Kluyveromyces lactis: one gene and its partners. The protein of the gene in region 5 purifies or fractionates together with the protein of the main gene of each other region. This does not show direct contact. Links are inferred from orthologs where the notes say so. Each region holds a gene or a part of one and is shown on either strand. Other genes may lie near its edges. The genes, in order: PRP6, LSM8, BRR2, LSM4, PRP3 and LSM6.

Region 1 (4,365 bases), on a different chromosome or scaffold from region 5:
GAAAAAGTTCTCTTTGATAGATATAAGAGCTGACTCTTTCATAGCAGAGAATCAGATCACAACGGAAAAATACACAGAACTGCCGCATATACTGGGTTAGTTACGATTGAGGAACGGAACTTCTGACAATGCGGAAAGTCAATTTACAGTCGCATCAGTGTTGTCCCAATTTTTATTATTACAATCTTACAATCTTACATTCTATCTAATTATTGGTGTAAATTGTTGATAATGCTGTGCAAAATATCAATCGGAGAGTTTGATATGTGTAGGTATGAGTTTACTGCGGGCTCCCATAGTATACCGTACCTGGGTTCATTTTCTTTCAATTTCTTTAACGTTTTTTCTTCATTTATTTGCAAATCAACTGGATTCATGCACGACTCGCAGATGTAGAGCCATACCCATGGGTCCCCAAATTGAAGATTATTTTCCGAGGCTCTTATGAACCATTTATATGCCTTCGCGTATTGGTGTTCCTTTTGGAACACTTTTCCGATCTCAGTTATCACCATTGGATGCTCTTTTGTAGCTTCGAGAGCATCTTGGAATGTGGTTTTACGTAGTGATTTTTTAGGAAGGGTTCTGATGTTTAGACACCAGAGCCTCCAGCTGTGTGGACACGCTTTGAGACCCTGAGCGATGAGGTACGTTACTTGTTTGTTATCTTTCACTTGCAGTTCCAATGTAATGAGAGCCTCGTAGAGTGTATCGGATTTTGGATTCTTTAGTAGAGAAACGCTGAGTATTGAACGCGCTTTGCCCCAATCTTGTGTTTCCATTACCAGTCTGGAGAACTCCAAGCACACTTCTGGATCATGATTAGAAATATCCGTAGCCCTCTGTAGCACACGCTTCGCTGATGAAAGGTCCCTTTGTTGCCTGTATAGCTGTGCTTTCAAGATTAGTAAATGTTTGTCGTTTGGTTCACGTGCCAAAGCTATATCAACAGTAGAATGAGCTATTTCCAAACTGCCTTTAGATTGCAAACACTTAACGTAAAAAGGAACTAATTTATCAATGCATTCTACCAAGTGTGATTCGGCTTCTTCAAAGGAATTTATAATCTCATCCAATTTGCCATCTCTGTTCAAAATTTTGAGTTTAGCCAACCAAAACTCAGGATACGCCGAATTTGTCACCAGAGCTTTATCTAAAATCGACAACGCTTCAGTGGAACCAGAACCCCAATCCCAAACGTCTTTCGCATACATTAAAACCAAGACAGGGTATTTCTTTACCGCTTGAGAATCTGTAAAGAGGATCTTCCTGAATGTTTCGTGTAGCTCTAATTTCCGCGAAAAGTCTTCGGCGAAATTGGTGAACTCCTTCCAAATAGAGTACTTTGTTGGATATTTGATTAGGAAGGAGGAAAACAAGGTACACTGAAGTGTGGTGTCGTTTACCAACAGCTTCGAGAGACTTTGGAAATTTGAGGATGCGTCTTCAAATAAGTTATTGATGGTAGCTGTGATGATTGCTTTCGCTGTTAATGGATACAATCCTTCTGTTGATATAGCGACTGCATTTTCGAACCACTCAGTAATAGTTGGATTAACTTCCAGTTCATGAAGATCCTTTATTGCGCTAGAAATGATATTTACCAACGTATCGAGATTTGCGGTCGTTCTTTTTTCTTCGAGTTGACATTTGAGAAGCCAGTATGTGATGTCTTTTTTAATATGTTCTTCAGCAGATTTCAAGGTGTCCACTGCAGATTCGACTGATTGTAACCTTATCAACTTCAACCATAACTGCGAATCCTTCGGCACTAATTCAACTGCTTTCTTCAAAATTTTCAGCTTTTCAAGAGTGGAAGTTTCAAGATTTACCGCCACTTCCCATAATATAGAGCTTAGTGGTAGTTTAATTAGAGCCTTTCGAGTGACTTTAATTTTATCAGTATTGTGTTGTTCGAGGGCGATTGCCTTCAACCACAACTGCTCACTAAACTCGTTGAGCCTTAAGGCAACTGTAACCAACCTCTTGCAATATTCTTTATCGGATGCGTTCATGCGTATCGATTCTAACCAGATAGCTTCACTTTTAGGGCACAGTTTACAACCTTCCGCTAGCAAACTTTTGGCTCGATTGAACTGATTGGCTCTTTCTTCGATTCTTGCTGAAGAAATCCAGTTTTCTGGATTTCTTGGATGGGATTTACGATACGCGGCTAATAGGGATCTGTTTTTCCTAATGTCTTCCAAATCCGTAGATGAAATAGTGTTGTCATCTTGGTTCATTCTATTCAAGTATTCAGCATCATCCGTAAGTTGACTTTTGCTGTAATCAAAACTCTTATCTATCTGGACAGCAAGTAACTTTTCCCTCTCTTCAGTTAACTTGGATAAGTTGACATTAACCTGGAACAAAGTGTCAGGAGCAGCGAATGTTTTCCTTTCAAGTTGTTCCTCTATTCGATTCCTTTTGTTTCGTCTGGTCATATCAGATGCGTCAGGGATATCCAGCCAGTCTTGCTCAGAAAGAGTTGCTAAATTACGCTTCAAATCTACAAATTTAGAAGATAGCTTGTCTGGTTCATCATCTGGCTTCGTCTTTAGGCTTGTTTCATTGTCGATAATTTTTTTATTCTTAAGTCGCTGTTCGATCTTTTCGTACACTCTCATCTCTTGTTCGTCTTCATCTTTAACCTGTTTCTCCGATGATTCATTCGAAACTGCTGATCTGTATCTATTTGGATTCTTTGTTACAGAAGTATCTGGTGCATCTCGCCCATATCTATTCAATCTAGCAGGAACTCTTTTATCATCTTTACTTCCTCTGGTGGAAAAGCCAACCGCTCCACGACCTATACCAGCGATGTAACCAGGTGGTGGAGATTGTTTTAGGAAACTGGGAGTCTCCATGCCTATCACCGTGATAGTTGTTTACTCAGATGATTTACTAGTGAATAGTTTACTGTATGAGATGTCCTTTCGATACAAATTTTAAAGGTTTTGTTTTTAAAGATATTCTACAGATTCTTAAAACAATAGAGAATAAGCGTTGATAGAAATAAATATCGATTCTGCTTAGAAAGAATTAAATATGCAGGCTAATATATGAGGAAATTTGCAGAATCTATAATACCGAATATGTTCTATATTTGTAGCAGATAAACTATTATCTAGCTAGTGCACAAACAATTAATTAATGAAAGTTCCTAAAAGGCGCTGAGGCCATGAGAAAGAAAATATCAATCTGATGATTATGATAATTGGTAATCTCCACCGTAACGTGGTGCGTTCAAGATGATACCGTTCAAGATACCTGCAATGAGACCAGCCATTGGAAGAGTTAAGAACCAACCACTGTAACAGAAAGCGACCATTCTCCAGTTAACGGATTTCAAATCCCTGTTACAAAGACCAACGGCCACAATACCACCGACAGCAACTTGAGTAGTAGAAACAGGAATACTTAATTGTGTTGCCATAACAGTGGTAACAGCAGCACCAAGTTCAACGGAGAACCCTCTGGATGGAGATTGCAAAATCATCTTGTTACCCAAGTTCTTGATGATTCTGTAACCGTATGTCCAACAACCGAGGACCAATGCAGCGGCACAGTATGCTAAAACCCATGTGTGAACGTCAGACTTAGATTCCACAGTGTTTTTCTGCCAGATGTCATACACGGCAGCTAGTGGTGCAGTGGCGTTGGCAACATCATTGGCACCGTGAGCAAAAGACATAGTGGCGGCGGTAATAGCTTGCAAGATAGAATAGATGAATTCGATTCTGTTGTCATAGAAGGCAGATCTCTTGTACATGTCCTTGAAATCTGTTGACAAAGCACCTGTATCGTAGACCTGAGAATGAATAACATCTTGAGTCCAACCGTGAGAAGCAATCAACCAAAGTAATAGAGGCCACTTCTTTGGTCCTTGTTTTAGCAATGACCACCATAGCTGTTTGGTAGTTGGTTTTTCTTCTTGCAAAGTTTCTGTTTGCACCAATTTGATACTTTGGTTGACAGATTCCTTGTCGTTAATTTCAATATGTCCCTCTACAGTATCTCTTCCATCGGCGGTGTGGGAAGTTTCAATTTGGGTTTCATCATCTCCGGCAGTTTCATCTTCGAATCTTCTACCTTCGTAGTAATCAATGGTTAAAGATTGTCCAGCAGGTAGAGGTGGAATGTCGTCAGTGGACTTGAAGTAGAAAGTTGGGCCTCTGTAAATATCATACCATTTTAGGGTCCAGTCTCTGTGCAAGATTCTTCTTCTGTAGTATGGGTACAAGAAGATGAAGTAAACAGCACAAGCGACTAGACCAGTAAGAACAATAGCCAATGCGGTAGTTGTGCCAGACAATTTATCCAACTTCAAGTTTGGAGAACCCTTCCAAACGATCAACATAGTCA
Region 2 (2,220 bases), about 640 kb from region 5:
AATGTATATAGGTGGAGGTTACAACAAGAGCATGCTATGCTAGCATCTCAGGGCGAAGGAATGACTGATGCGCAAGTGAAGGCGTTTGTTGATAGATATATGCCTTGTTATGAACTATATTATAAAAACTTCATTGACCCGAACACCGCGTTCGGCAAAACAAATCTTACCATTGCCATCGATGCCGACAGAAATGTGGTCAATCATTTCATTTCGCACTCTTGAACTTCTTCCCAGGGGATTAATACCCTGAGTCGTTGTGTCTGGTTTTGATTTAGGTGTTGAGATTCAGGCGTAGCGATAGATTCATGTCTCAATCTTTTCTCAAGCAACGCCTGCCTCTTGCTAGCTAACCTCATATCTTCATGCAACGTCTGGATGGCATCCGTGAGGTCTTGCATTTGTTGCACGACATTGAACATGACATTTTCATTCATGGTAAATCTGTCCATCCATTCTCGATGTCGTTTATCCATCTGCTTCGTAATATTATCCGCTAAAAGTTGCAAACTTTCACCGCTTGATGCCTTTAATTGATCCAAACGAGACTTTACTTCAGAGACAATCTCCGTTCCCGTTTCTTGATTACCATCTAAATACACACAGAAATAACGGCGACTTCTCGGAGTCTCATCCGTTATTTTCCTAGTTAGTAAAAACTGACCGTAGTGACTCTTACAAAGAATCATTCCTAAAGGGTATCAATCAACGACCAATCCACGTAGATAGAACTAAGTAAATGCCCTTATACTAAGTAGATATTCCTTTCATTGTGCATAGAAACCATACCTTTTCTACTGTCAAGTTCTGCTTGGAATAACTTTCGCGAATGGCTCAATTCATCCACGTTCTCCTTGATAATCTTGAATAGACTCTCAGACGTGTCCCGCAACTGCACAGTCTCCAACTCTAGACGACTAGTCCATTCTAAGATCTGTTTGTCGGCGTCTGGAATCTTTTTAAAGGGAGAAGACCCGTAATCGGTCTCACTTTCATTCTCTTCCGCCATTTCAACCGTGATTCGGAGCTTCTAACAATATTAGCCACAACACAACTCTAGATAACTGCTGTAGAAGCCTGTATACTTCTGTTATGATGTGTGATTCTTCTTTGTTGAAGATGTTGTTGTTATTGATAATAGAGAATCTTCAAATAGAAAACATTACTTTCAAATTATAATAGTAACGAAGAAAAGATAACGATCCATCGGAGCGAAGATATCCACATAACTGCCCCCTTGTTTGCTAGAACAGTGAATGGACAATGAGTGCTCTATTGAAAGATTATTTGGACAAGAAGGTGATGTTGGTCAATGTCGATGGAGACACATACTATGGTGAAATGAAAGGGTTTGATCATGCGGGAAACATGATTCTTTTAAAGGACAGCAAGATATGCATTATACGGAGTAGTGAAGTGGTATTATGTGGGCTGATAGATGATATACCAGAAGAAAAAGAACTGGCAAAACTTCAGAAGTTCCCAGCGTGTAAGAATAAGTTACCGTTTAAAGAAGAAATAGACATTTGGAGTGAGCGATGGGCTAACAGATGAAATATAAATAATGTTATACACAGCTGCTGGTCTCCCTTTCATTGACCGAGTTCTTTCATTTTGAGAGCTACTTCAAAGAGGTAATCGATGGACTCGATGTATATCTTGGCTTTCTTTGGCGTGGGGCCCCAAACGAAGAGTCCATGTCTTTTCACCAGTACCGCACATGCATTTGGATAATCCTTAATCATTTGCTTCAACGCTGGCATGAGATCCTGTTCTTCTGGAGCGTTATCGATGATTGGAATACGTAGGGTATCAACGTTCCTCAAATTGGTACCGTCACCTTTGGGTATCGCCTTGATTTGTTCAATGTCCTTGATGGTAAACTCCTTCTCATATATCATTGAACAAAGCACCGCATTGATAGAGTGCGTGTGTATGACGCACGAGGCACCCAGCGTCTTGAATAGCTCCAGGAATAACGGTGTGCACGCAGAGGGTTTCAATCCAGGCGCACCACATTGATAAGTATCGTCCTGTATATTGTATTTAACAATTTGTTCAGGTTCCAACAGTTCTTTCTCAATGCCACTTGGTGATATGTATGCGATGTTGTCCTGTTTAATGCCGATACCACCACCTGTACCGAGCACCCATTTGTTCACGTAGAACAATTGACACATGGAACATATTGTTTCACTGGTATCGCTCATTGTGTGTCGC
Region 3 (4,383 bases), on a different chromosome or scaffold from region 5:
GAAACTCCCGATGCACAAGAAACTGCTTTAGCATTGGAAACATACCGTAAGGCCTGTTCTAACGGACGAGGAGCCATTCTTTTGTCAGTTGCGCGTGGTAAAGTGTCTGAGGGTATCGATTTTGACCATCAGTACGGAAGAACTGTACTCATGATCGGCATTCCGTTCCAGTATACAGAATCTCGTATTCTTAAGGCAAGACTAGAGTTCTTACGTGAGAATTACCAGATCCGAGAGAATGACTTTTTATCTTTTGATGCAATGAGACATGCAGCTCAATGCTTAGGTAGAGTTTTACGTGGTAAAGATGACTACGGTGTAATGGTGTTGGCAGACCGTAGATTTGCAAGGAAGAAAAGTCAACTACCAAAATGGATTGCACAAGGTTTATCTGATGCCGACATGAACTTGTCCACGGATATGGCTATCGCCAATACTAAGCAATTTTTGCGAACCATGGCACAACCAACTGATCCAAAAGATCAAGAAGGTGTATCTGTGTGGAGTCATGCACAGTTACTGGCGCACCAAGAAAGTGTTAAGAAAAAGCAACATAACGGGTTTGTTGATTCGGATGTGACAGAAGTCAAGGATAATGACGGGGACATTGAAATGAAGGATTAGATAAAGGGATTCTACTCTGCTTATAGAAAGAATTTTATTTTAATTTATATTCACTGCATATATACAGTACTTTCTTTTTATTTATGCATTTACTATGCGATGTTAACATTAAATGTTACTTCCTTATCGGCATCCAAGTAAGAATCACATACACACCATATTGTTAGTTCATGATCACCAGGATCTTCCAATTCGATTTCCAATTCGTAGTCCTGGGTCATTTTTGTAAGCGCGATCTTCCTGATAGCATATAGCTGCCTGGAGCTCTTTTCACCGATGAATATCCACCATGCTTCAGTTTTTTCATGTGGCAACGACTTTGAGCTAACATTTAGTGTTTCTGGTTCTTCATCTCTACTTACTGTTACAGTAACCATTTTTTTGTCGTGAGGTTTCATCGGTGCTGACATATCTAGAGCATACTTCAACTCAATGTTTGGATAACTGTTGACAAATTCTGCGACTTTATTCAACTTATTTTCCGGTAAAGTGATGATATCTTCTCTTTCTTCATCCTCTAAAGCCATCACGTCATAAACTGTTTCTACATTATGGTTTTTGCATTTCTCCAAGATGTCTGTATCAAAGAATGGAATTTGTTTCAAAGGTGAATCAGTATCCCACACACCTTGAACAATCATTTGACTTAAATCCATAGCAGTAGTGGCATTCAAATAACCGTTCATTGACAATATATCTACCATTGTTCCTGCTAAGCTAGGTGCTTTTGAAAGGATTTCAGACAAATCAAGTGATAAGTCCATGGGTAAATGAAGACCTGAAAAATGGGCCTGCAATAACACAAAAACCTTGGCTGTTGTGGAGCGTGGATCGAATTCGGAGGACAACTTCAAAGGTGAAATGTCGTATAATTTTCTTAATGGCTTTATATCATGTAATCTAAGAGGCAATGTCTTAAACTCTTCACTTGAAGACAAAATTTCAAGAATACCGCTCATTCTTAGTGATCTTGATGCTGCTCGGCTAAAATTGCATATCGTTAAACAACTTACGGCATGGATAGCAGAAATAAGACAGGCATTATTCGGGGAAATTACCTCCTCTGCAATTTCTGTGGAATCGTTCGCTTCCCCTTCAACTGATATAAGCTCGGTTTCCTTCATGGTTGTTACTGCTTCCTCTACTAATTCTGTTAAATAGGAGGAAATTTCGTCTGCAGTCACATCTTGAATACCGTAGAAACTTGGATTTGCATGTATTCTACGATATAGATAAGTGTAAGTTAAAAGGTCGATACAGTCTTGCTTGGTTTCTAATGTTTGGTTTGCAAACTCCGTTGTAAGTAAATCAATAACATGGTATGGCAGAGAACTCTCCGTTGGTAACCCATCACAAAGGAATTTTTTATAGTATTCCTTCCTTTGCATTGTGGTGATTAGTTTTGCATGTGCTTGCTGTTTATTTGACGCCGTAAACGCTGTTCCCATCATCTCAAGAATAGTATTTACAGGATAATCGATGTATCTGTTCTCCCTGCCTTCAAAATATTGAGTTGTAGTAACAAAGACAAAACTTGATGAAGGGGCATCAAAACAACAATCCCTACTTGCAACCAAAATCGATATCACCTTGTATTCATGGAGCTTACGGACTACATTCCTATCGGAATAATGCATACCTTGGTATAGAATTCCTATACCACTTTGCAACAGTGTCTTGAGGTTGCTGTCCTGGACCTTGTTGAGATACGAGTGTAAACTGGATTCCTCTGCTCTAAGAAGATCAATGCCTTTAGCAACAGCGAGACCAACGAGTTCTGTCGCGAAAGAAACGCATTCATATCTGTCAGTGACGAAAACTGTTATAGTTTCATCGGGTGAGGCGACACGATTACTACTTTCAACGATCTCAGTTAGGGCCATTCGATTAGAAGTAGGGCTTTTTACTAAAATGCTAGTTTCGATATCGACTGTCAAGGGTGTTTGCCTTTCTAAAGCAGTAAAATTGAAAATACTTGATTTTTTTGCACCTAACCATTCTCCGAAATCCTTTGCGTTGGCAAGTGGGGTTCCAAGCCCCACAATCCTTATATTCTTCTCCAATTGTGTTGCAATGAAAATCATTCTCGTAATTATGATTTCATACATCGGTCCAATTATCTCGTTGCCTATTTCATGGATGTCATCACAAATAATTAGTTCTATTCTTTGAATGTTTTTTCTTTCCGGCCAGCGACGAGACAGGTATTCAAATTCATTCGGAGTAGCTAATATTAGATGAGATTGGGCTAATTGTTTTTGATCGTGCTGCAAATTTCCAGAAAAAGCATTGATCAGTTTTCCACCAGCCAAATGTGAGAATCGCTTTTTCCAATTCTTTAGAAGTTCAGTTATCTTGGTTTTGAATGGACAAATGTAAATCGCACGTCCTCTGCCTTCTCTCCAATGGTTCAATAATGAAAGTTCTGCCATTATTGTTTTACCGGAACCTTTTGTTGCACATATTAGTGCGTTTTCAGTTTCATGGTATAATGTATCGAAAACTTCAGTTTGAACTTTATTGAAAGAATGGAAATTGTATAACGCCTCAAATTCATCAATTTGTAGTTCCTTGGTACTTTTCTTAATTGAATCAGAAACAGATATTGCAGGAGGGAATGGTTTAGGTAATTTTATTTCACTCAAAATAACAGGAATCTTGTACTCACAGTTTAGCCATTTTTCTGATATAACGGATACAAAATAGTTCGGCGGTAACATTTTCTGCTTCAAAAATACAACAAAGTCAAGATACACAATGCTGTTTATTGCATTTCTCCCAACATGCAATGTCTCATGATAAATTGTTTGTTCACCGTCTGTGTCTTCGACAAGAACAAGGAATGTTTCAGAATAGCTGCTGGAATCCAGATCCCAGATCCATGTAGGTTGGAGTTCCAACTCAAAACGAAGTAGTGAATTTGTAACTGGCTGCATTGCGCAGTGAATGCCAATCTTCGGGAATCTTTGAAGCAAATCGAAAGCAACTTTACCATTTTTTGGAGATCTTAAGGCTTCGCCTACCTCATGAGCATTCTTCAACAGTAAGAAATCGTTCCAGGGTAAACCAGACGCTTCTGCTCGTCTTATGATTTCTTGAGGGCATCTCTTGAATTGCCTAAATGGTGAGTTCGTGGGCCACATTCTGCTATCGACGCATTTACAGATGGTAAGCAGAAGCTTGGTTAGTCTTGGCCATCCTTTTCTTAAGCACATTTCGAAGAGTGCTCTGAAAAGTCTACCTGCGCTCTGAGAAATGTAAATCATATCCGCATTTAAAGCGAACCCCTCCAATCGTAATTTTGAAATGTACACCTGAAGTAGAATGTTTGCCTTGGCTAATGAATCAGTAGCCTTCTCCTTGATCGGAATTGGACAACGCTCGACGAGTTTCTCTAATTCAGTTTTCTCTTCTTGTCTTACGGTAATGTTCTTAAACTCTTCTGACATAGCAAATATTCTCAGAATGTCGATCAAAGTGCTGTTTATTGTTAACTCCCGGTTGTATTTTGCAATTGACGAATAACTTATGTAGAAATGAGAGGATATTCTACCTAGCTCAGTTGGTTGTACCGACTTAGAAAGAGAGTCATAGTTTACAAGACCGTTATTCTGTAATAAATTCAACGCCGTATGCACAATATTTCTGTTGACTCTTATGAGCTCAGCATCACTCATGTCTCCTGAAGAACCTTGCAAGTTGTATAAATGAGGTGATTGCTTCATCCGTACTGATAAATAGGAATAACCCAACCAGTTA
Region 4 (2,557 bases), about 1.0 Mb from region 5:
GAATGAATATAACAAGGCTAAATAAGTTCGCCTCTTATATTTAAAGTGAGGCCAAAAAAAAAAAGTCCGGCTCTCTTCAGGAGTCTCATATTTCTCCTATATAATACTGCATATCTAGCATGGACTTTCTAAACCAAGCATTTTTGTATAGAGTAATTTAAAAAATAACAACATTTGATCTTTTCCACGGTACCCATGCTCACATACTCTTAATATATAAAGCACTGATATACTGCTTTGAACTTAAGGTTCACTAACTCTGAATCATAATTAATAGGTAGTTCTTTTAATTTCATAACCCAAATTCAGTTTTAAATCTCAAAAGTGTGAAAGGAGTAACGAGAAAAAGGTTTAGGATATCGCATCGAATGCAATCGAAACAGATGTTTTTATAGACTTTTGACCGTCCAAGCCAACAAAATAGTCTCTTTAACCGCAATAAAAGTGATTGAATATGTAACCATGTAGACACACAAATACTTAAGAATTAAATGCTGAGAAAAGAGGTTAAATCAAAATTGTGGAGTTTGATTACTATTGTTTGACGCCTGCGAATACGAAAGCTGTGGATTGGATGATGCATCGTATTGTGATCTATTTTGAATATTATAACGACGAGATCCTGCATTGTTATGGCTGTGAGTATTGTTATTATTATTATTATTATTATTATTGTTGTTGTTGTAATCCCTTCTGTTACCTGAGTTTTGATAGTTTCTTCTACCACCTCTTCTGTTACCATCCCTATTCTGATAATAATTATTGTTATTATTGTAGTTGTTATTTCTTCTTCTATCGTCTTTACCGCCTCTGTTTTGACCCCATTGTTGTTTTACCTTGTCTATGATATCATCTTGCAAATTAACATACTTGATGAAAGAACCTTTCAAATAGAAGCTTGGTAATTTCAAAGTCTCTCCACTAGCTACATGAGTGACATTGGAAAGTGTCAAGTTCATCCAATTGTCTACATCAGATAGCGTACCTTCCACAGTTTCTCCATTTTTTAGTTCAACATGCATTGTTTGACCCTTTGCATTGGTCAATAAATATAATGGAAGCATTTTATGTTATAACTTATTGATCTGTTTTACCAATTATAGTGTGCCCGTGCTGTCGTATTTCTTTAGGTATCTCAAACCGTAGTAACTTAATCGTAGGAAAGGGTGGGGCCGGAACAATATACAATATACCAAAAAATTAGGACTCTGTCTGTCTGGAGAAGGAAAAATGTGAGGGAAAAAAGTATGAATTAGACTTTGTTGCTTATCTGCGTATCTGTAGTTTGAGTTATGTAACACTCCCTAGTAGGACGAACCAAATGCATACAATTGCATTGACAATATTTAAATTCCAATTACAATATAACTTCAGTTTTTCCAAATTTCATTGAGCTGGAAAAAGCATTCTCGACATTTCATAAAATTCATTTACCGGGTAACACTTAAAAGTTTCGAATCACGTGAGTGTCCCGGGTAATACTGACACGTGAATATAATCTGATTATTGATTTTTCTCTTATTTTTTCACTTTTAAGACTGTTTCTGCCCCCCTACTCCTTCGTGTCATACGGACCCTTCTAGGCGTTTTGAAAGGTTGCCTCAGCTTTGAATATGGGAACACACTGGAGTGAGGTTTGAAATGTGAGATCTGAGATTTTTTTTTTGGTGAGGCATCTAATCTTTCTTTTCCCAATTGGGTAAAGAGATTTGATCACAGTTTAAAATAAAGATTATAATCTTTTGAAAGCAGACTTTCTCACGCACTTTACAATGTCATTTATGATTTGTGTATACCTTTGTTATTAACAGTGTCTGTAGGCTACGTGAACTTAGCTAAATATCAGAGCATTCCAGTTGAGATTGATTTGGTCTGCTACTCCGATATCTGGATACATTTTTGGGCACTGGTGGAAAAGCTAGAATAACCGTAACTGCGTGGTATATTTTACGTTGAATTTTACAAAGTGAGCGAGCTTGAGATCACATTGCCAGGAGCAGAAGCAGAAGCAGCAGCAGAAGGTGACACTCGACTCGAAACGCTTTGTTGACTCTGGCGTGCTTTTCTTTGCTTTGTTTTGTCTAAAACAATTAGGATTTCGTGTGCATTTATTTCTTTCGTGTAATTATGGAACAACACTTGTCGCATCATAGCGGCAACGTTTTTGACAAGGAATCTATCCTTCAAATGCACATGGGCACTCATCATCATTCTGAGAATGATACACTTTTGAAACCGTTCAATTCTAATTTATTAGGAGCTAATAGTGGTGCTACCAATAATTCTTCTTCATCCACGGGAGCATCCTCTTCGATGATCGATGAAAGGCAGATCGATGGGAGTTTAAAGAAAATCAGTGAGGAACCTACTATGGCGGAGACAAGTGGTTATGACAGCGAATCGGAAACTTTCATTGAAGTTGCTACATACGCGGGCGTTGATGTATATGAATGTTATACCAAAGATAAACCTCCATGCCTTATCATGAGAAGATGCAACGATAATTGGTTGAACATAACGCAAGTTTTCAAAGCCGGTTCGTTTACAAAGGCTCAGA
Region 5 (3,365 bases):
AGTAATCACTATAATAATAGGTCAAAATGTCCACTCTATTGAAGTCTGCTAAATCTATTGTTCCATTGTTGGACCGTGTTCTGGTGCAAAGAATCAAGGCCGAAGCCAAGACTGCTTCTGGTTTATACTTGCCAGAAAAGAACGTTGAGAAATTAAACCAAGCTACTGTGTTGGCTGCTGGTCCAGGTTTCACCGATTCCAACGGTAACAAGATTACACCATCTGTCCAACCAGGTGACCAAGTTTTGATCCCACAATTCGGTGGATCCACAATCAAGTTGGGCAAGGATGATGAAGTCGTTTTATTCAGAGACTCTGAAATCTTGGCCAAGGTCGTCGAATAAAGGTCTCGAACGTTACACCAGAATTAAATTTAAAGAACGATGTTATGAGCCAGTATCTTTCTCTGTTATTGATGATTGAATTTTGAGAGACGAAGGGAGATATTATTTATATAAATATGACTTTTTTTTGATGTTGGTAGTGATAAAACTCAATAATGTTGACCATTGTGCGTCACTTGGACTGCCTACTCACCCCATGTAAATAAATGTTCTAAGTAGGTCGTTGGATTTACTCCGGTTTTATTTTTTTTAACATACACTATTACTTTTATTCCAAAATTTTGATGATTTCGAACTTGGATTTCATTTTCAGTACGTAATTGTTTGTTAAAACTTACCTAATGGTACAAAAGTCAATGCATCGTGCTGCTCTAAGATATTATTTAACTGGTTTTTATCTTTACAATCGAGCATGAACCAGCCCTTGAATCTACAATCACCAATTAATCCTTGCCAAACCTTTGTAATTTTACCGTCGCAAGGTACTGTCTCTTCGGTATCTCTATCTTTGTATGGTTCCGACCAATTGATTCGCTTTGTCACCAACTTATCGAAAAAGCGGATAGATTTTTCATCTCCAAAAGCTACAATTATACCTTTGCCATTTTGAATGTGTAGACAGCATCCTTTCAACTTCAATTGCTTACCGTTGGTTTTGATTTTGTATCTGATACTAGGATTCTGTATTTCGTCAAACATGTAAACAACACACGTGTATTCTAGAGGACTATCATTGCTGTGTGCTTGTAACTGGGATTCCTTCCTTCGTTTCAGGCTTTCTTGATGCCTTATTTCATTTTCTTCGAAATGTTTCCTTTTCCTCTCTGCCACTTGTCTCCGTACGATGGATTCCCATTGAGTTGGATCCGCAATATTGGCATCATTCTCATACACATTCATCATATTCGATAATTTAACCTTGGGCTCTGGTTTTGGTTCTATACCAAGCTTGATTTTCTCCTCCTTCTCCTGTCGTACCAACTTCCTCGTATTCCTTCTGGCCTTTTTCCGTTCGTTTTTCGTTAAGAAAATCTCTGCCACTGGAACAGCTGCCCTAGGCCTTTCAATCGGTACCGGATGTTGAATATACCTAATACTTGGGAATTTATCTTGTGCACCTTCCTCTTCCTCTTCCTCTTCATCATCACTTTCATCGTCCGAATTCAATGTGGAATAATCCAAACTATATTTCTCATGGATGCTACCATCTTTGATATATGGAACATCCCACCATTCCACATCAGGAACGTCCGATAAATCGGTAAAATAAACTTCTTCATGCTTATCAGGTAGTTCCCCTATTTCTATTTTCCGTTCGATTTCCTGCTGTTTCTCCAGTTCAGCTTCCCATCGTATTCTTTCTTCTTCAGACTTTTCACGGTTCTCTTGTCTTAATTTTGCAGCATGCTGGACAACCTCTCCCGGTTCATACCAATGAGACGATACTCTTGCCTTTGGCTCAAAACCATGAGCCTGTACGTCTTGCAAGTATGGGTTTCCACAACGTCTACCTTGAAATCTCAATAAATTGACATTCTCAACACTCAATGCAGAATGCAATTTCCGATTTAACCCTCTATTAGTATTATTATCATTGCCCATTATATGATGATATGATTTTTGTACAAAGGGCCGATTATTCCAGACAATCCGTAGTTACTATTACACATCACCATTTGTCTTTTGTCCATCTCTTCTCTAGCATCGCAATGAACTCTCTCTCATATAGAATCTGAATCACATCTTCACTCTGTAACGCCTATGATGAAATTCACCATGCCCGGGTAATATATCCGAAATTGCACCAACCCCTGATTGTGCGTAGTGTATGGGTGGAAGCCAAAACAGCACAATTTTTCTGTTTTATGGGATGAAAAGAATTACATAAGCGGCCCCTAATTCTCGTTGTTTTTGTGTTCCTCGTGAGTTTCTCAACTCTTTGCTGAAAGGGACAAAGTTCAGTTCCCAGAGAAGGACTTAGGCGGGGAAATCCAGCCCAGGAGAAAGGAAAGCAGAAAAGCTGATGTGATTTTTAACAAGTAGTGTTGCTTTGGAGCTGGAAAAAGTCAGCATAGTAACGTGCGCATCATACACTCTGATTTGCAATGATGGTGCCTCGGAGGGGTGGGTGTCATATGTGGGGCGTGATATCTTACCGTTGGGTATAAATAGTAAGAGAATAAACTCTGGCTTAAATTATTGTTATAAAAGGCTAGCTTGAATATATAGTTAAGGATACCGATCTTAATTCATCTCGTACTTTCCAACCGAAACAAGACTAAAAAGTGAAAAAACATACATAGCTAAGGATAGACTTAACATAGAAATATGGCACATTCTTCTGGTATTCGTAGACCAATTCAGATTCAAGAGTTCGTGATTGCTATTAGAGAATCGTCTGAGCATGAATTACAAGAGATCAGAAAAGAGATCAATAATGCAGTGAAGCATTTACAAAGATCTAACAGAAGGTTAGAAGCGTACGTTGCCAAGCTTAAGGGTGAAGAGGTATTGAACAGACAAGAATTGGACGCGGAAGGGAATTTTTCCGATGATGATATTGATGAGAAGGATTTGCAAGTATTCCAAGACTCATTAGCGGAAAATGGAAAAGTATTGGATAATTATAACGAAAGGCTACAAGCTTTGGACCTAGAAGAACAGCACAGGGCTAGCACTGTATCTTCCGGTGACATCCAATCGGCGTCCACAAAATTAAAAAGATCTTTGCAATCTCAAGGCCGGAGAACCGTTGGCGTGGATTCAGATAATACTGCTGATGCCACTGGTTCCAATAGCATTAACTTATGAACCCATTCCAAACAAAATATATATAATGTACTCATATATTGAAGTATAGTAAAAAAAAAATGAATGAAAGCAAAAATGCATGTTTAAAAGTGTGGGCTGGTATGACCTCGGAAAACTGTATACTTTCAGAGATGAATAAACGCACCCGTTCTGGTTTCTTTCTCTTAGTTTCGGGCTGGTAATCTGCTGGGAAAAACCCTGGAATGAATC
Region 6 (2,105 bases), about 590 kb from region 5:
CAAGAATGGTACAGCCCTCACTTGTTCCACCTTCTATTCTCTTTAATATATTCTCAAAAAAAAACTACAACATGATATGAGGTTCGCGGTTTGTTTGATCTGAAAGCTTTCTTTATCACAGAATAAATAAGAAACTACGAAAGGAACCTCTTTGATCTCCTTTTCTCTAACGATATGACAATAAATTTTCTCTTTTAAGAATCATGATATAAAAATTTGAAAAGAGTAATGTATAACTCACTGGTACAAGGTTAATATATATTATTATTGTATTAGATATCTACATATTCTTATTATTTTAAAATAAAATCAGAATTTAAATTTATGTATGCTTTGGTGCTTTATATATGTGCATCGTAGTATTTTTTAACACTTTCCGCTTTGATAACGTTCCATCTTTATAGTATACAATTATATACTTTTGTATATAAATTATTATTAGTATTATCATATTATTGTAGTTATTGAGCTTCTGAGCAAATAGGACACTTTATAATATCGACTTACAAAAGTCATTGGTCGAAGTCAATCTTATTGCCCAATCGAAGCCTATTTTTCGCTAATGTATAACACCTGCGATCCCCTTAGAAATACTTCAGAAGGATATTTATGCAAAGTTCCGTTCTCTTCTGCCTCATAATGTTCCGACACTTGTGACATTGTGACGTTCATAAACCCATCAATTGATTCTAGCTTACCTTGATACAATATTCCTGAGAATAGCTTGACGTATACTGGTTTTCCAATGATGTTCTCCAAAAAGGAGCCAGAAGCCGTTGCCTTAGATTCCATGATGTGTTAACAATCTATGCCTTTGAAATTTGGTAGCGTCGAAATAAAGATATGAAGAAGCCTGTAGTTCTTGCATCTGAACCTACTCTCATCATTCTCCATCAGTTCAACGTTATATTAACAAAGTTCACTTTTCATTGTTCACGTTGAAGTAAAAGGGAAAGAATGTTCTAGTCACGTGATCTGTGGTAAAGTGAATTAAGTGATATGCAGTAAGTAATAAATTAATTAATTAAATGAATGGAAGGGAACAGCGCAGATTATAGTAATATATTGCTCTAGCTTGGAAACAAATGTCAAAGGTTCTTCCTGGATACATTCCGACAACAACCAGCATTCTTTGACTCCAATTTTAGCCAAAATCTTCGAACTCTAAGACCTTGAAACAAAGAAACTGAACTCCAAATCACGCCTGCACACCACATAGTTCAAACATTCTCAAACCTGGTTCCTGATTTTGTTTCAATGCATATATACATTTCGAAACCGTTGAGAGACAGCACTAATTTACCTTAGTGGCTCTCTGCAGCTGATAGATATGCTATATCAATTCAGCTAGAATATAATTGACGTGGTGTGCTGTTTACGTTTCCCTATCTAATTGACTTCCATATTTAGCACTGGTTAGGACCGATTGTACATATATATAATCAAGATTGAGACACGATTTATTTATATCAACTCGCTTCAAACGTTTCGGATTTTAACAAGATAGGGCTGCATTCACTCTCGATCAAAACATTCCTTGAGTTAATTGAACCCTCGTATCTATATTTCGATCTCAACATTCATATTGAGGGAATTTACTCCGTCCACGAGGAACAGCTTGGAATTCTTTTCCCTTATATAGTACTCTCTAACGGTGCGTGGCAAGAAAATATCATAGTATAAAGCCGCTGCTAATACATCTCTCTATTAACTTTTTTTTTTTTTTGGTGTGTCGTGCTCTTTGTGCGTGTTCTGTTATTATTATACTTTCGATTCGAAGATTAATCTTAGATTTCTTTTCAGCTTTTGATCCATTAGATCAAAAAGTTATTGATCCAGGGACAAACGAACACACTACAAGACCATCACCTCCACAGCGTGCTACATCTGCAAAACTAATTACCGTATGTCTGCCTCTCCGAAGGGGGCTGCTGAGACGTCAGTATGTGTTCGTTGTACGAACCATATTACTATGGGTCATGCGTACGAATTAGGCGGAAATAGATGGCACACCCACTGTTTCTCCTGCTACAAATGTGATAAGCCTCTAAGTTGTGACTCGGATTTCTTAGTTCTGGGTACAAGTGATCTCATATGTTTCGAGT

The links.
Region 1: the proteins of PRP3 (region 5) and PRP6 purify together in Saccharomyces cerevisiae (affinity purification with mass spectrometry; 5 studies listed by BioGRID). This does not show direct contact. The link is inferred for Kluyveromyces lactis from reciprocal best matches to the Saccharomyces cerevisiae genes PRP3 and PRP6.
Region 2: the proteins of PRP3 (region 5) and LSM8 purify together in Saccharomyces cerevisiae (affinity purification with mass spectrometry; 4 studies listed by BioGRID, with this or other methods). This does not show direct contact. The link is inferred for Kluyveromyces lactis from reciprocal best matches to the Saccharomyces cerevisiae genes PRP3 and LSM8.
Region 3: the proteins of PRP3 (region 5) and BRR2 purify together in Saccharomyces cerevisiae (affinity purification with mass spectrometry; 8 studies listed by BioGRID, with this or other methods). This does not show direct contact. The link is inferred for Kluyveromyces lactis from reciprocal best matches to the Saccharomyces cerevisiae genes PRP3 and BRR2.
Region 4: the proteins of PRP3 (region 5) and LSM4 purify together in Saccharomyces cerevisiae (affinity purification with mass spectrometry; 3 studies listed by BioGRID). This does not show direct contact. The link is inferred for Kluyveromyces lactis from reciprocal best matches to the Saccharomyces cerevisiae genes PRP3 and LSM4.
Region 6: the proteins of PRP3 (region 5) and LSM6 purify together in Saccharomyces cerevisiae (affinity purification with mass spectrometry; 3 studies listed by BioGRID). This does not show direct contact. The link is inferred for Kluyveromyces lactis from reciprocal best matches to the Saccharomyces cerevisiae genes PRP3 and LSM6.

What each region holds. Positions count from the first base shown.
Region 1 is NC_006042.1:396,113-400,477, reverse strand, and holds PRP6 (U4/U6-U5 snRNP complex subunit PRP6), read right to left. Parts: upstream 2,868-4,365; coding exon 210-2,867; downstream 1-209. Other genes in the region: PHO89 (Pho89p), read right to left, coding at 3,209-4,365. UniProt on the Saccharomyces cerevisiae protein: Participates in pre-mRNA splicing. Part of the U4/U5/U6 tri-snRNP complex, one of the building blocks of the spliceosome.
Region 2 is NC_006041.1:1,467,092-1,469,311, reverse strand, and holds LSM8 (U4/U6-U5 snRNP complex subunit LSM8), read left to right. Parts: upstream 1-1,263; coding exon 1,264-1,554; downstream 1,555-2,220. Other genes in the region: TDA10 (putative ATP-dependent kinase), read left to right, coding at 1-225; methylthioribulose 1-phosphate dehydratase MDE1, read right to left, coding at 1,593-2,210. UniProt on the Saccharomyces cerevisiae protein: Component of the nuclear LSM2-LSM8 complex, which is involved in spliceosome assembly. The LSM2-LSM8 complex plays a role in the biogenesis of the spliceosomal U4/U6-U5 tri-snRNP complex by accelerating PRP24-mediated annealing of U4/U6 di-snRNA.
Region 3 is NC_006039.1:1,579,036-1,583,418, forward strand, and holds the end of BRR2 (ATP-dependent RNA helicase BRR2), read right to left. Parts: coding exon 717-4,383; downstream 1-716. Other genes in the region: TFIIH/NER complex ATP-dependent 5'-3' DNA helicase subunit RAD3, read left to right, coding at 1-624.
Region 4 is NC_006041.1:1,854,894-1,857,450, reverse strand, and holds LSM4 (U6 snRNA complex subunit LSM4), read right to left. Parts: upstream 1,065-2,557; coding exon 513-1,064; downstream 1-512. Other genes in the region: TMN3 (Tmn3p), read left to right, coding at 1-25; SBF complex DNA-binding subunit SWI4, read left to right, coding at 2,128-2,557. UniProt on the Saccharomyces cerevisiae protein: Component of LSm protein complexes, which are involved in RNA processing and may function in a chaperone-like manner. Component of the cytoplasmic LSM1-LSM7 complex which is involved in mRNA degradation by activating the decapping step.
Region 5 is NC_006041.1:826,825-830,189, reverse strand, and holds PRP3 (U4/U6-U5 snRNP complex subunit PRP3), read right to left. Parts: upstream 1,947-3,365; coding exon 672-1,946; downstream 1-671. Other genes in the region: HSP10 (Hsp10p), read left to right, coding at 27-344; TMA17 (Tma17p), read left to right, coding at 2,673-3,155.
Region 6 is NC_006041.1:232,611-234,715, forward strand, and holds LSM6 (U4/U6-U5 snRNP complex subunit LSM6), read right to left. Parts: upstream 793-2,105; coding exon 550-792; downstream 1-549. Other genes in the region: GTPase-activating protein RGA2, read left to right, coding at 1,907-2,105. UniProt on the Saccharomyces cerevisiae protein: Component of LSm protein complexes, which are involved in RNA processing and may function in a chaperone-like manner. Component of the cytoplasmic LSM1-LSM7 complex which is involved in mRNA degradation by activating the decapping step.